Drosophila melanogaster: one gene and its partner. The protein of the gene in region 1 interacts with the protein of each later gene in a pairwise test. Each region holds a gene or a part of one and is shown in the gene's direction. Other genes may lie near its edges.

Region 1 (8,441 bases):
GTTAGGGAACGACATATAACGTTAGCCAAGGCCACAAGAACACACAAAACGAAGCATGGATGCATTATAAATATTTCTGGTACTGGCGTATTGTTCTTTTTTTTTTTTTGTTAGTCGGTGGTTTATAAATAGAATTTCGTATTTTAGTTTGGTGGTCTTAACCTTTAGCAGTCGCTGTATTTGTCGGCCTAAAGAGTCCAAATCAAGTGCACATGTGGCTGCGTTTCGTCCCGTTCTGTCGATCCTGTTGGCCTCCAATTTCTGGCAAGGATCACACATGCGGGAATGGAATGGATGTGGCGTTGTAGACATACGTTGCACTTTCACTGTCCTTGCGACCCGACCAACTTCTCACTGGCCCGGCAAATAAACTTACGCATGATGATGTGGACGCGGATGTGGATGCGGATGTGGAGGAGCCGCTGGCCAAGGAATCCGCCGCCAGGCTAACGTTCTTGAGAGGATACATGCAGGTGGGCAGCTTTATGTCGAATTGCGGCAGCAGAGTCTTCAGTTCGTACATTTTCGCGGCGAGAATCGTTGGATAAACACAATAACCTGCGCAAATTATCAATTCCAAAATGTGCTTGCCGTCTGTGAGAAACTTTACAAAATACCAAATAATTTAAGGCAACGCTATCGCTATCGTTCCACTTAACACCATTAATCTGGTCACATTGCGTGCGGTAATGAAAGCTATTGAATTCAAATTTAAAATGTAGTTTTTATACATTTTATACTTCATCCAGAATATTCTGCTTGGTCAACTACTGTTGTGTCGTTATACCTTTAACGAAAATCAAACAAAACATTGTTTAACTCTTTTTAATTCAAGTTTTTTTTATAGAAATGTCTCAGTTATTAACAAAAATAAAAAACAATTTGAGAAAATAATGCAATTTATATAATAATTTCCCTTTCTATAGCTAAGTAAATTAGGAGACTGGCAATCGTTCATATTATTCAGATTTATTTTTAAAAATATTCCTAGTTCTATGCTATCTTGGCCTTGGGTGGCACTTTCGGTATGCGCTTTATCCTCCTGTCCACGATGTGGCGTAGACGCCTGTCCGGCTTGACCAGCTCGCTCTCTGTCATGGGCTCGATTACCTGGCCCTTGCGCGTGATTACTGCCGGACGGGTCAGCATGCGGAACGCCGTCTCCGGCACAAAGTTCCGGCCAACTGGAGCACGGATACTGGCTTCGTAGTCTGCCAGGGATCGGAAAGGAAATGGTATGCTGGAGACCATGTGCTGGCGCGCCTGCTTGCTGGCGGACTCGTTGAGGTAAAGATTATCCTTATTCTCGTCACGACGCTTTTCCGGAGCAGCCAACTTAAGAAGAAGCCGCTTGTTTCGTCGCTCCATTACCTCCTTCGAAATGCCAGCACCCGCCCAGGAACCCCATCCAGGCAGGGCGAGCTGAAGCTCAGTGTTCTTAAGCTCGGAGTCCTTGCTTTTGTCCCGATTAAAATCAGCTACAATGTCATCATCCTCGAAGGCTTGACTGATTGTCAACTGGCGTTCAGCAGCGGCGTCTTCCTCGTCGTATTCAGCTGCTTCATCGTCTATTAGAGCATCGTTAAAGCCTCCCGAGTTGCCCTTCTTTTGGGTAAACACCAAAGTTGTCACCTTGTTGGGATCTATGGTATCCACAGCTGGAATTTCCGTGCTTTCTGTGTTACCTTCAACGTGGGCAGGGATATTATTCTGTGAATTTTTATCCTCCTCGTAGTTAAGGGGCTCGTCAATCTCTATCTGTTGCTTTGTCTTTTTTAAAGCCAGACTTTTTAGGTTTTGCAAGACGTCCTTCTTTTTCGCCTTCTTTCCCTTGACAGGAACTTCTTTAAGTTTGTTTATCCGTTCCCTCAATTTCTCCATTTTCTTATTTAGTTTGGCTCTGATATGATCCTCGTGTTTCTCAAAAATGTCATCAATGGCTTTTGAATTCGGGCTTGCCTTGGCTTCTTTCTGATCAGTTGGGCAAATATCTTCCACCTCCCAGCCATTTTCTATCTTAACTTTCGATTTCTTAAGTTTCTTCTTAGCAGGTTTTACTTCTATTAATGGTTTCCGAATAGTTTCTTTCTCCTCCTGCTCGTCATTATCCTGGACTCCTTCCAAATCCCTACGATGCTCCTCCAGTAACTTTTCGTTTTTATTCCTTTTTGTCCAATATTGCCGCCAATTGGAACCCTCACTTTCACCATTTCCATTTTCCGTTTGCTCTGTAGCTTTTCTTTTTGTCCAAGGATTAAAGGGATCGTAGTCATTATCCTCCTCCTCGGGTAAAACTCTCTTCTTGGTGGTTTCATCTTCGCTGTCTGACACCTGCTTTTTCTGGGTCAGTTCCCTGCTAACAGCCAACTGCTCGGCCAGATCCTTTCGCACATCCTTGTCGTACTTGGCCCGTATCTGCAGATTCTTCGCCCAAGTACCGGTGTTCTTGTGCCGCAGGCTGGCACGCTCCTGCACTCGACTCTTTTCCAGGGCATTAAGCTTTTCCAGCGCCGCCTCTGGATCGGTTTTCTGCAGCAACTCGAACTCCTTCATCTGCTCCAACATTTTTTGTCTCTTCTGCAGCTTGTGGAACTTTTTCGATTTGATTTTGTTTTGCATGCGCGCCTTTGCTGACTTTTGAGACTCGCGCATCTTCAGGTAAGCTAGCTCCTTGCGACGGGCAAATAGTTCGTCCCTGGTAAGCTTCTTTTGTAGTAAAAGCCGCTCTTGCTTGGCCAGCTCCTTTTCATCCGTGGTATCCCCAATTTGCGCTTTGCGCAGTTCCCGTAGTTTACGGTTGTTAGCCTCGAGTTCTTGAGCAAGATTGGACTTGACCCGGGTGTTTAGAGGCCTGGCATTTGCCGCAGTATTTACGTAAACCGTTTCAGATGGTAGGGGGAAGATCTGTAATAAGTTTTGGAGATTATATGTGTATGTCACTGTTAGCATTGGCATTCATTCACCTGCGTCTCCGCAGATCTCTGTTGAGCCACCACAGCATCCCAACGACCGAGTTTCTTGGTAACTCCCTCGTAGCCAATGGTCCGTTTAATTCGATCCGCAGCTGGTTTCTCCAGCGGCTTCTGTAGCACCTTTTTGCTGCCATGGATGTTCTTGAGCTTCTTGCCCGTCTGACTGTGCTTGGTGGAGGTGCGTAGGATGTCTACCAGATCGTTCAGACCCACGGCTCTGGGGGCATGATCCGTTTCCGCTGACGAAACACCTTTTACCAGCTGGAACTCATCCTGGAGCGACTGCCGCTCGTCGCGCGTGGACTTCTGGATGTGCTGCACCTTGCCCAGACTGCCGATGGCCTGCAGCAGCTTCTTGTGTGCCTTTGGTTCGTAGTGCTCCTCGTCGTCACTCATTTTTGTCAGGAAAATATTTAAAATCAAATAACAATACAAAAATACTTCGCGCAGCACGTGTGCAGAATAACAGCTGAAGAGTTATCGATAAGTTTTGCGGCCCATCACAATTTCTACCTGTGCTCGATAGCATGAGTGTGGAAAATGGAGCTGCCTTCTTTTAAAAATTAACTTAAATATAATAACATTTACTACTCAATACATATATCTATGCATCAAAAATCAATTGATTTTTTTTTAACAATAAATGTACTTTTAACTCAGCGAAAACCCCCTTCGTAACGCCCTTGATGATTACTATCGATTGTCCCCCCACGAAAGACCGGCTATCGATGACAACGGGATGAAAATATTTTGTTTACGAATTCGACATTCGAATCGTCATGGCCGACACGAAATCCGGTAGTGGTCGGCATTCGGCTGCCGGGGGAAGTGGAAACGCCGTCCTGTCGCCCTTGGGGCAGGGTCCTGCGAACTTGGAGTGTAAGGACTTTCAGGAGTATCTGCGCACCCGCCAAACGCCAGAGTCGCTGGAGAAGCTGTACAACTATCCGCCCATTTGTTTGGCCGTTTTTCGGGAGCTTCCAGAGATAGCCCGGCAGTTTATCATAAGGATACTGTTCGTGGATCAGCCTGTGCCACAAGCGGTGGTCACATCATGGGGTGCCCAACGTTGTGCCAAGTATGACTGTATCCAATTGGATAAACAATATCATTGCAATGCATTACTTTTGCAGGGAGCAAGCCGAGGCAACCAGCTGCCTGACGGCTTTGAACGTCTGGCGGGTCACAGCCATTCCGGGTGGCCTTTCTGCGTGGGAGCTCTCGCCCACCTTCAAGAAAAGCGTACGCCAGGTGCTGCTGGGCGGCGGAAAACCTTGGCCTATGACCAACACGCTGGATAAGGACTCGAAGCCCAGGGACATTGCTTTTCTGGATACATACGCCATGTCCCGCTGGCGTTGCGTGTTGCACTACATGGTCGGCACCGGAAATCGCAATGGCACCGATGCGGAGGCCATTAGTCCGGACGCCGTTCGGATTCTGCTGCACGCCAATCTCATGAAACGTGATGAACGAGACGGTATCACAATAACCCGGCAGGGCTTTCAGTTCCTGCTGCTGGACACGCGAGCTCAGGTGTGGCATTTTATGCTACAGTACCTGGACACGTGCGAAGAAAGAGGAATCAGCCTGCCGGAATGCTTGTCCATGTTGTTCCAGCTCAGTTTTTCAACGCTGGGCAGGGATTACAGTTCCGAGGGCATGAACAGTCAGATGCTGACATTCCTGCAGCATCTACGGGAGTTTGGACTGGTCTTCCAACGTAAGCGTAAGGAGGGACGCTTCTATCCCACACGTTTGGCTCTGAATGTGACAAGCAAGGAGGCGGCTGCGACTGCATCTGTGGCCATGGATGAGGAGGCCACTCAGGACTGTGGCTACATTGTGGTGGAGACGAACTACCGAGTGTATGCCTACACTGATTCTCCGCTCCAGGTAGCCGTGTTAGGTCTGTTCACGGAGCTTCTCTACCGCTTTCCCAATCTCGTCGTGGGCGTGCTAACCCGCGATTCAGTGCGCCAGGCGTTGCGTGGCGGTATCACGGCAGAGCAGATTGTCTCGTATCTGGAGCAGTATGCGCATCCCAATATGCGCATGGTCGAGTCAGCCATTCACTCTAAATCCTGCCTGCCACCCACAGTCGTTGATCAAATTAAGCTGTGGGAATTAGAGCGAAATCGCTTCACCTACACCGAAGGCGTGCTGTACAATCAGTTCCTCTCGCATACAGATTTCGTAACGCTACGAGACTACGCCCAGTCGATCCACATGCTGGTGTGGCAAAATGAGCGAACTCGCACAATGGTGGTGCAAAAGAATGGCCACGACGATGTCAAGCGTTACTGGAAGAAGTACTCTAAGAGTGGTGTTTAGCCCGGTATTACGACCAATTATTGGGAAGTTATTTTAGAAGTAACATCTGTGCCCATTTTGTTACAAGCTAAAATTTTAAAATATGGTTTAATAAGGGAGTGTGGGATTACACATTTATCATCGACATTCAACATACAAGTGGAATAAAATTAAAATACACAAGTATCATACACATAAAAACAGAAAACCACCAAAGCTTTTCCTAGATTGTCCTTTAGGATGGGTCGACATGTAATATTGCTAAACGTAAAAAACAGTGAAGAGACAACTAACAAATGCATACAAAATAATTTTATTTACCCAATAAAATAGAAAATTTAGAATGTCCTATACGTTATACCTAAAGAAAGCATATCGAAACATCCTCGCCTACCTAAATGCGAGTGGAAAAGAAACTAGCTCAACCTAATACAAAATGGGACGCTGGGGCATGCAGAGATTGTAGTAGCTGCCCTTGGCCCAAAAGTCCATGCCCTTCCAGCCGCACCAACCTTTAATTTGAATGGTGGCCAAATCATCGGCACCTGTATAATGGGGATCCAAGATGAGGAACTTCACCTGACCCGTCTGCACGCAGTAGTCCACCCCGATAATGGTGTGGGCCAGAACACCGCCACCAATCATTACCGGTGTACCTTGCGTTTGGAAATGCATCGCCAGCTCGGAGGCAATAGTCGCCAGCTCAGCTCCAGAGGCTACGTGCAGAATTTTTGAGTCCACGTTAAGGAATCCCTGCAGACACATGCTGATTTCTGTGGAACCAATCCACTGAGAAGAACCCACGAATGCAGCAGGTTTGTCGTTGATCTTGTGAAGGTATTCCTGCACCTCCAGATGCGTCGGAATCGGTGCGTTCGTATAACCCTGCAGCACAAACCAGGAGCAGATCGTCTGCAGCGAGCGATATGCGCATCCCCATCCCTTGTCCTGCACCTGCTGTTGCAGGTAATGATAGTAATGGTAGTTACCATTTACTAAGTACTCTTTGCCGTCGACAACTCCACTGGGACGTAATCCGATGTGGGTATTTAGCAGCGGAGTCCATGGTGCGTCCTCCGTTTCACCTAGGAAAAGCATCTGGTTGGCCCTGCGGAAATAAGGACGACTGATGGGCAAAGCAAACTGTCGATGCAGGCGCTTGCGTCTCATTAGCATGCTTGGTGTATCGTCACTCAGACCTTCCAGATAGGCGCAGCTCACGAAGTGACCAAACTCTTGTGGGTAGAAGTGATAGCTAGCGGGCACCAGCAGCTTTCCACTTCCCGACTCCGTGAGATGCTCAATCAGGCTCAGTTCGAACAATCTGAGACCTCTGCAGATGCTCTCGATGAGTACGTCGTATAGCCGTTGGAGCTTCGTTTTGCGGCAGAGAATGGCCATGGCTTCGATCTCTAATGGTACCTGGACTCGGATCTGTTCCTCATTGGTCACAGCAATGCTGAGTGCCGGATGAGGTGGCTCTCCGGACACGGGATCACGACTGCGCGAGCGCATCACATCGATGGGGATCACCTCGTAGTCGCAGCCAGTCGGAGCCAGTCTCTTGACTGGCGTGTTCTGACCTTTAAGCTTCTTTTTGTCGACACTGGCAGTCTCCTTTTCATGTCCTGGAGTTGGAATGACGTCTATAAGATCCTGAATTTGGGAATCGCCGCTAAACTGTTTGTCCAGTGGCCCGTAGTTATTAATGAAAATCTTTGTCTGCGGAACGTTAAACACTAGATTTCCGTCGGCTACCCTTTTGCGCAGCACATGCATTTCCCGGGCCACGGATTCCGGTGTGGCGGCCGTTTGCAGAAAGAATCCGCACTGCAGCCGGGTGAAGCAGAAGTCGTTGTACAGCTGATGTGCCTCCATAACCTCGTAGGGTACCTCCTCCAGTTTTCCATGGACGAAAAACGAGGCCCGCAAGCCCACCAAGGTGCCCAATTCGCATTGCAGTAGGATGGGATTATCGGTGATATCCACAGATTTGATGACCTCATTAAGGTGCGCCTCTCCATCGGTGCAACCACCAAACTTGACCAGTCCGCATAAATCCAGTTCCGCCGGGAATCTGTGTTGGATCTGCTCGTAGTTCAGTTGTCCCAAACTGGACTCAATGTTGAAGCTCAGTAGGAGTAAGGTACCTTCTCCATAGAAAACTCCAAACAAGCATCCACTGCACTGCTGCTTTGTTCGCTCCAGGCGCTAAAATTGGTGAAACCGCGTAAACGATATATGGTTAAATAAACGATTTATAGTCTCACCTTCAACAGGAATGCGGATATTTTTAGTTTGGGTAGCATATTTCTGATAAATGTATGAAAATAAAATAAAGTAACACGGCCACCCACCCGAGTAAATGTTGCTCAGCTGGCAATTTTTTATCGATAACTGAGTGTCTGTATGGTATTTTCCTATCGACATACATATGTATATTTATTGGAAAGTTTGAAAATGAATTCAAATAAATTGTTTGGATAGAAATGTATGCATTGACATTTTGGTAGGATTTTAGGTTAGAGATTCATTGGTTTAATTATTAAAATGTGAGCCAACGTTTTATATAATAGTCCATTATTTCCAATATATATACATATGTATTTGCTGCGACAGTTTTCCATCTGCACAACTAATTAAAAAGTTCATTCAAGTACACACACATATAACATTTATTTAATATATATTTTATATTGAATTCGGCATAGTGTATAGATTCGCAAAAATGTTATAAACGCAGCCCAACACCGCGCCACTGGCTCCATGACTCTCCCATCGACTATCATCCATAGTCCACAATTCGTTAATTCTATCAATGTTACACATTTATATACAGTACATAATTGCGTGGTGCCTCTTATATTTGCTTCAACTGGAATATCGTGCTCCTTCTCGATTTGCTTTCGTGCCTACTAATTTACATTAAGAGTTTTCAAGCGGTTTTGTTTTGTTTGCCTTTAGTTAGGACATCTACAAACTACTAGGCTTTAGAATTTTCTAATTAATTTCATTGCTAAATTGTATGATTTGCGCAAAAACAGAAGCTTACTTAGAGAAAAAAAGTTTAAAACGCAACCCCCCGCTCTACAGATATATATTGAATTCCTGCGGCCTTCCATTTCCTGCCCACCATCCGCGCCCATTCTCATCACG
Region 2 (7,294 bases), on another chromosome or scaffold:
TGCGTGGTCTGCCCGGACCACAAGGTGAACCAGCGCCAGCACCGCCGGCACCCAAGAGCCGCGGATTCATCTTCGCCCGCCACTCGCAGTCCGTCCACGTACCTCAGTGTCCGGCCAACACGAATCTGCTATGGGAGGGCTACTCACTGTCGGGCAACGTGGCCGCCAGCAGAGCGGTGGGTCAGGATCTCGGTCAGTCCGGCTCCTGTATGATGCGGTTTACAACCATGCCGTACATGCTGTGCGACATCACCAACGTCTGCCACTTTGCCCAGAACAACGATGACAGTCTCTGGCTGTCCACCGCCGAACCCATGCCAATGACCATGACGCCCATCCAGGGCAGGGACCTCATGAAGTACATTTCGCGGTAAGTGCCAATTTCCTCCTCCCCTAGAAATCCCTTAGACTATTGACATGTCTTGTTCCTCAGTTGCGTTGTGTGCGAAACGACGACCAGGATCATCGCCCTCCACTCGCAATCCATGTCCATTCCGGACTGTCCAGGCGGCTGGGAGGAGATGTGGACCGGCTACAGTTACTTCATGGTAGGTTACTATTCTCAGCATAAGGAATTAAAGGTTAACCCACCGTTACCCAACCTTTCAGAGCACCTTGGACAACGTCGGTGGCGTTGGGCAGAACCTCGTCTCCCCGGGCTCTTGCTTGGAGGAGTTCCGCGCCCAGCCGGTGATCGAGTGCCATGGCCATGGACGCTGCAACTACTACGATGCGCTGGCCTCCTTCTGGTTAACCGTCATCGAGGAGCAGGATCAGTTCGTCCAGCCGCGCCAGCAGACGCTAAAGGCGGATTTTACCAGCAAGATAAGCAGGTGGGTTACTTGAGCAAACCCATTAGCTGTATACATATGTATCTACAATGGCGGTATCATCTTTCAGGTGCACGGTTTGCCGTCGTCGAGGCAACAGCTTTGTGGCTCGCACTGCAAAGTCCAGGGCAGATGCGTCTTCCGGTTTCACAGATGGTTCTGCCTCGAGTAATCCTTCGGGCAGTTTGAAAACAGATGGCAATTACAGGGCAAACTGGCAATCCGGCCGGTCTTCCAGTCCTGGCTCTCAGTCCAGTCCTGGTTCCAGCTCCGGATCCTGGTCATCTGGATCCAATGCCGGAGCTTATCCTGGCTCCAATGCCGGAGCTTATTCTGGCTCCAATGCCGGAGCTTATCCTGGCTCCAATGCCGGAGCTTATCCTGGCTCCAACGCCGCCTGGCAATCGAGGACCAATGCTGGATCCAGCTGGCATTCCGGACCCGTAGCAGGATCGGTCTCCAATCCGGGATCGTACTCTAGCTGGTCCACGGGCTCCAGTCCTGGTTCCAATCCCGAATCTAACGCCGGGTCCACGCGCTCCTCTTGGATCACGCGCAGTCGCGGCCCATCAAACTATCTGAACGGAAGGTACCAGCAAAGGGTTCACCCGAGCAACCTGCAGGCCTACGATGAGTATGCTCGCCATGGTGGCAATACCCGCCAGTACAACCGACGCCCACGCGAGGACACCACCGCCCCCTAGATTGCAGTTCGAACTAAGTAGCAGTTAAATATACGTCTTAAGTAATTTGCTATCCTATCCAGGAAACGAGATAACGATCCAAACCCCAACTCGAGTACCAAACAAACAAAACTTTAACCACAGAACAGTGCCATTTTCCGTGGAGATGTAATCTAATTACGTGGACACCAAAAACTAAAACCATATGACACATATGCCACATACCAAATATAATTATGGAATTATGGAAGAGGGGTCGAGAAGAGTAACCACTGCCTCCACTGCAACGAAAGTAAATCTTGTGCCCCTGTTGGGATTATTGTAAACGTAACACAACCAAAAAGAAAGCCCAGTTTTTTGATAAATAAAATGTACAACACATAAAACGAATGCACAAGAAATTTCGTTTGATTGAAATTAAAGCGAACTTTATATCCCATCTAAATCCGATCAAATGCGATTTTGTTCGGTTCGGATTGGATGCGTTTAGGATGTGTAGAGTAGGCTATAGTTGGGGTGAAAACAGAAATACAGCTAAGTGGATAATGTCGGGACAAGAGCTTATGTTTAAGTTAGGTTCAGAGCCGGAAATCGATGTCTGCGGCTGTTTTGGTGTTGTCCAACTGCTGTTTTCCGCGCTCCTCCGTCCGTCCAGTCAGTCCAATGCTATTATTTAACAAAGTCCGGATTCTCCTGCACCTTTTCGGTGAACTGCAGATGGTTGTCGATGATTTGAAAGAGTACCTCCGGCGAGGGAAAGCGTCCCGTCTGCAGTTTCGACCACACAGGCACATCGTTTAGTGTTATCTCGAAAGCGCCGGACGAGATGAGCTGGGCCTCGAGCATGTTGCCCAGGAAGAAGATCATCATGCAGGCGTATATCTTGTTAGCCTGCATGTGGCTCCACCAACTGGGCGTGTTCAGGCCAAGGAAGGTGAACGGACTGACCGCACTGACCACGGACACAATGATTATGATCTTCAGGGCGAATATCATCTTGGAGAGGTAATAGTTTAGACCCGGCGGATCGTAGTTGCCGCCATTCACCTGAATTTGCGGATACTTCTCGCCCAGCAGGCCCACGTAGTCCTCGAACGCCTTGCGATAGCCGCAGGAGTAGCTATTTGGCGAATCAATGGTGAGAAACACAGAGGTCATTGTTATCAATTATGTTAATTGCCCCGCATATAACGCACCAGTAAAGGAAAGTCATCGTCGGCGCTATGTTCTGTCCGAATTTGGTAACCGGTATCTCCTTCTCGCCCTCGGCGAACACCAGGGCGTATCCGGCGCACAGGCACAGCACCAGTAGTGCCACATTCCTTCCGGTCAGCCTTTCCATTGCGTGCTTATGGTCTGATTTAATTAGGAATTTAATTTGGAATTCAATATTTCCTCACACTTTTGCCTTGGTGTTTGTCCGTGTGACTGGCAAATACCCCGCTACTTCTGTCTACTTTTCGTAGTGAGTAGCACTGATAGGGCTGGCAAAATAGCTATATTTCTTAAAGTACGAAACTTCCGACGGTGAAACTAACATAATATAGTTAATATCGGGTGCTGGTTTAAAGCAATGTGTTATATTTCGTTGATTGTAAATATTATATTGCCATGCTGAAATTATTGATTAAATTATCAAGTAAAGTCAAAAAAATATCGATAGTAAAGACTGCCACCTCTAGCCTACGTTTCACTGTGAATATGTCATTCAGCTCTGAGAATTGGTGAGATTGTTTATTAATTTCGGCAAACAAATGCTGGCAACATGGTAAATGTTATGAAAGGAGTGCTGGTGGAGTGGTAAGTGGTATACGTTTGGTATGCGTTGGTTTCGCTATATTCAACCCAATCCCCGCAGTGATCCTGCTATGAAACAATTCCTGCTGCACTTGGACGAAAAACTGGCTCTGGGACGCAAATTCATTATCCAGGATCTGGACGAGAACCATTTGTTTATCTCCACGGACATTGTGGAAGTTTTGCAGGCGCGAGTGGACGACTTGATGGATCGGATAAGCTTTCCGCTGCACGACAAGGACGCTTAGAACCTACACAACCCATAAAATCCAATAGCCAAAAGTAAAAACCTAAAAACAACCATGACGGGTCGCGAATCCAACCGCATCAAGGACGCTGAAAAGAAGCGTGTCCTGGACTCCACAGCCCGCCAGCGGCGTGCCCGCAAAGCCTTGGAGGCTCTGGAGCAGGACAACTACCACGATGACCCACACGCCGACCTTGTCATGTCCAAGAAGTTGCCCAAATTCCAGGACAGCCTGAAGACCGGCAAGGAGAAGAAAGGCAAGCGCAAGGGCGCCGAATACTTTCTCGTCAAGTATCGCAAGAACTTCCAGCAACTGCTCGAGGAGGACAAGGACAAGCAGCCCAACTACGAGAGCGCCGCAGCGCCGGCTCCACAAAAGCCACTGCGGCATTTCTGCGCCGTTTGCGGCAACTTCTCGTTGTACTCGTGCACCGCCTGCGGAACGCGATACTGTTGCGTTAGATGCCTGCAAACGCACCAGGACACGCGCTGCCTCAAGTGGACGGCCTGAGCATGGTTGTTATGTTTACAAATAAATCAAACATTAGGCATAACTGAATTGCGCGAAGTTTCTGGAAATACATACAACAAATTTTAGCTGTCGTGAATTTTAGCCAATTTGCCAGAGCCATTGGGTTAATGTCATGGCTAAAGATGCCGGCAACATCAAAACTTTGGTTCGAAACATGGCTGTTCAAGGTATTTGTCCATTTTTAGGCAATTATGCTGTGAGCGTCATCGATAGTATCGACCGCTGTGCCACCTCTAGCGCAGGTCCATTGAAACTTTTCAAACGTCTGCATCGACGGCGCCTGTAAAAGAGTCGCTGTGGTTCAAATTAAATTCAACGTTCCCGAGCACAAAACACTGCGAATTGCGGCCTTTTAGTCACCAGAAGGCACTTAAGTCGGCTAAAAAAAATCATATTAATTTCAACCGGCAAAATCAGCTGTAGCTCGGTGCCTGTGCGTGTGTGTGTGGGTGTGTCGTGTGCGTGCGTACGTGTGTGTGTGTGCGAAGTTCCAATCAGAAGGCCAGGATATTCAAACACATCTGTGAAAATTTCTTATTGATCACAAGTGTTATATTTTGAAATCAAAACACTGTAGAATATGGATCGGAACTTCGACGAACTGAAAAAGGAGGCCGCTGCCACCAACGAGGACATCTTCAAGCAGGCGCAACGTGCCTACGAAGACTCTGCACTTGGTGGCGATACTGGCAATGTGAGTGGTGGTGCCCAGGACGATAATGCCCACACGGAGCACTACTTCGCCAACGAGCAAAAGAAGTTGGACTTTGGCGATGCGCAGGAGTTTGTCCAACGCCTGGCCGCCGACGCTAAGGATGCCAAACTCGATTTGGACACCAAGTTTGCACAGAAGACTGATGATTTCGAGGACTTTCTGCGCGACGCTGGCAAGGAGGTGAAGCAGGGCATCAGTGGACTGACCACCGACTTTATGAATGCCGAGCGGGGCTTCTCCGCTCCCCTGGCTCCATTCTCAGAGACGGTAGCTCAAGCTCCGGTTATTCCAGCACAAGCTCCAGCTGTTCCCGATCATGCTCCGGCCGTTCCAGCTCCAGTGGCGCCAGCTCCTGCTGTCCCAGCTCCGCTTCCTGTCGAGGAGGACCTCCTGGGCAGCTTCACTGACCAGCCATCGGCACCACTCCAGGCCTTCCAGCCAACGGCACCGTCCACGGCCAATTTCTATGACGACGAGGAGGATGACTTCCTGGGCAAGCCAACCACTGCTGCCCCAGCAGCTCCTGTCGCCCCATTGACCAAGGCCAACCAGGATTCCGACACTGAATCGCCGTCCGTCTCGTACACACCATCGCCGGCCAAGAAACCCATTGTAGATGCCCTCAAGGATCAGGACAACGAGAAGTTCATCTCGTCGGAAGATCTGGCCAGCGATTTTAAGGAGGAGCCACGCTCAGCACCCACACCAGCACCCGCACCAGCTCCCATTCTCGATGCTGCTCCAGCTGTTGCTCCTGCTCCAGTGGCAGTACCAGTATCAGTACCAGTTGCCAAACCCCAGCCGGTTCCAGTGGCTGTACCCGTGACAACCGCTTTGATAACCGACCTGGATGACGAGGAGGTGGTGTTCAAACCCACTGTCCAGGAGGCGCCGAAGGCACCCACCATCGCCGCACCCGTAGTCGAGCCGAAACCAGAGCCACCCAAACCCAAGGTGGAGCCGGCCAAGCCGAAGGTTGTGCCAGTGGCGCCAGTTGAATCGACCCAGCCGCAGCCAAAGATTGCGTCCGTCGAGGAGATCTTCTGCAAATACGGATTGGGTGAGTCTAGCCACTGCAAATAGCAACTAGTCAACACCAGTTATCATTGCGTTTCTAATTAATTTGTTGTGTTCCCGTCGTCATTCGAGTATTATAGTACACCGTCGTAATTTGAATACCATTTTGATGTTTGTTCCCAGTGTCCTTGCGGCGCACCTTGCATCCCACGCCCTTTCCCATCGCCTGCTGCCCCTTCTATTTAATTTTGTTTTGTGCGTTAGTCATTCGCCACTCTCTTATTATTATTATTTTTTTTTTTTTTTTGTATGGTTTTTTTCCTCCAACTCTGCTCATGAGTCATCGTTTTTTGCGGAGCTCTCTTATTAAGTGAATTTTATATCGCAATGCGGTGAAATTTAATAGCCTAGAAGATACTCTCTTCGGAGGCCGACTTTTCTTCTTCCTTTTCCATTTCCCTTGACATTAATCATTCTCGATTTGAACAGCAGCCGCATTGTTTGCCGGCTTTCTCATAGTTTTCATAGATTTTTCGCAATCGATCGTCACCGCGTGATTCACACTCATTTGAATGCCACGAACAGAAATATGACTGCTTAATACAGGGATCGTTCGCTAAAGGCAACCCGCTAATTTACTGCAAGAAACTACTTTTATAAAAGCAATATGATTTGCAGGTAGAAACAGTGAATAATCAAATATATTATGAATATGAAATGGATATTATTTATTAACCGTTTGATGCTCCTAACGTTTATTGTTTCCAACAAAGCAAACAGAAACAATTAAATAGATAGGAAGGTGAATCGTAAAACAGATAGGCAAACCTTAGATGAGCAGACAGAGGTGAAAAGAAGGTAAATTGCATAACTAATCCCAACTGGGCAACTCATCACGCCGGGTATAGTAGATACGAAAAAGGGGGCAACATTCTCGAAGCTGGTTTCACCATTACCGAGATACTTAACCGGCGTGAATCAGCTGCTCAGTAGCTCAGTAGCTTCTCCATTCCAAAAGCTCTATATTGGTCTATATATAATATATGTATATGTATATATATATAGAGTGTACCCACCATTGACGTACACATGTCCGTTCATCATATTTCGCTTTATTTCATTGCGATTCTTTTTTTTGTGTTTTCTGTGTTTCAGCTTCGTGTCCATTAAAGCAATTTGCGGCAAAGTAATTTATTGTTGCGTAGTAATCTCTGCTACTATTTGGCAATCTCACGTTTCCATTCCCATTTCTACTACCTTTCGACAGTGCGCTAATTTGGCCAGCGAATAATTCAATTCTCGTCTCCCTCGCGGCGAATGCGAGTTTTTCACGGCATGCAGCAGGCGACCAGCAACTGCGGAAAAATATTTTCCAATTAGTGATTTCCATTGACGCCTCTGTCTGCCAGTCTGGGTTGCATCCATCCTTTTAGTGCGATTATGCGGCTATTTTTGTTATTCCACTACCAGCTG

The links.
Region 2: the proteins of mrn (region 1) and Tfb5 interact in a two-hybrid assay, tested with the Drosophila melanogaster proteins (one study listed by BioGRID).

Annotation. Positions count from the first base shown.
Region 1 is NT_037436.4:15,575,817-15,584,257, reverse strand, and holds mrn (marionette), read left to right. Parts: upstream 1-3,720; 5' UTR 3,721-3,751; coding exon 3,752-4,050; intron 4,051-4,105; coding exon 4,106-5,306; 3' UTR 5,307-5,489; downstream 5,490-8,441. Other genes in the region: AIMP2 (aaRS-interacting multifunctional protein 2), read right to left, coding at 163-261, 377-523; CG12301 (uncharacterized protein), read right to left, coding at 994-2,904, 2,964-3,368; Ufsp2 (UFM1 specific peptidase 2), read right to left, coding at 5,712-7,496, 7,556-7,594.
Region 2 is NT_033779.5:5,006,751-5,014,044, reverse strand, and holds Tfb5 (transcription factor B5), read left to right. Parts: upstream 1-3,210; 5' UTR 3,211-3,278; coding exon 3,279-3,313; intron 3,314-3,371; coding exon 3,372-3,558; 3' UTR 3,559-3,612; coding exon of another isoform or gene 3,613-4,068; 3' UTR 4,069-4,114; downstream 4,115-7,294. Other genes in the region: vkg (viking), read left to right, coding at 1-370, 434-548, 610-833, 901-1,534; SelT (selenoprotein T), read right to left, coding at 2,183-2,633, 2,710-2,855; CG31917 (uncharacterized protein), read left to right, coding at 3,613-4,068; Rtnl1 (Reticulon-like1), read left to right, coding at 4,670-5,864.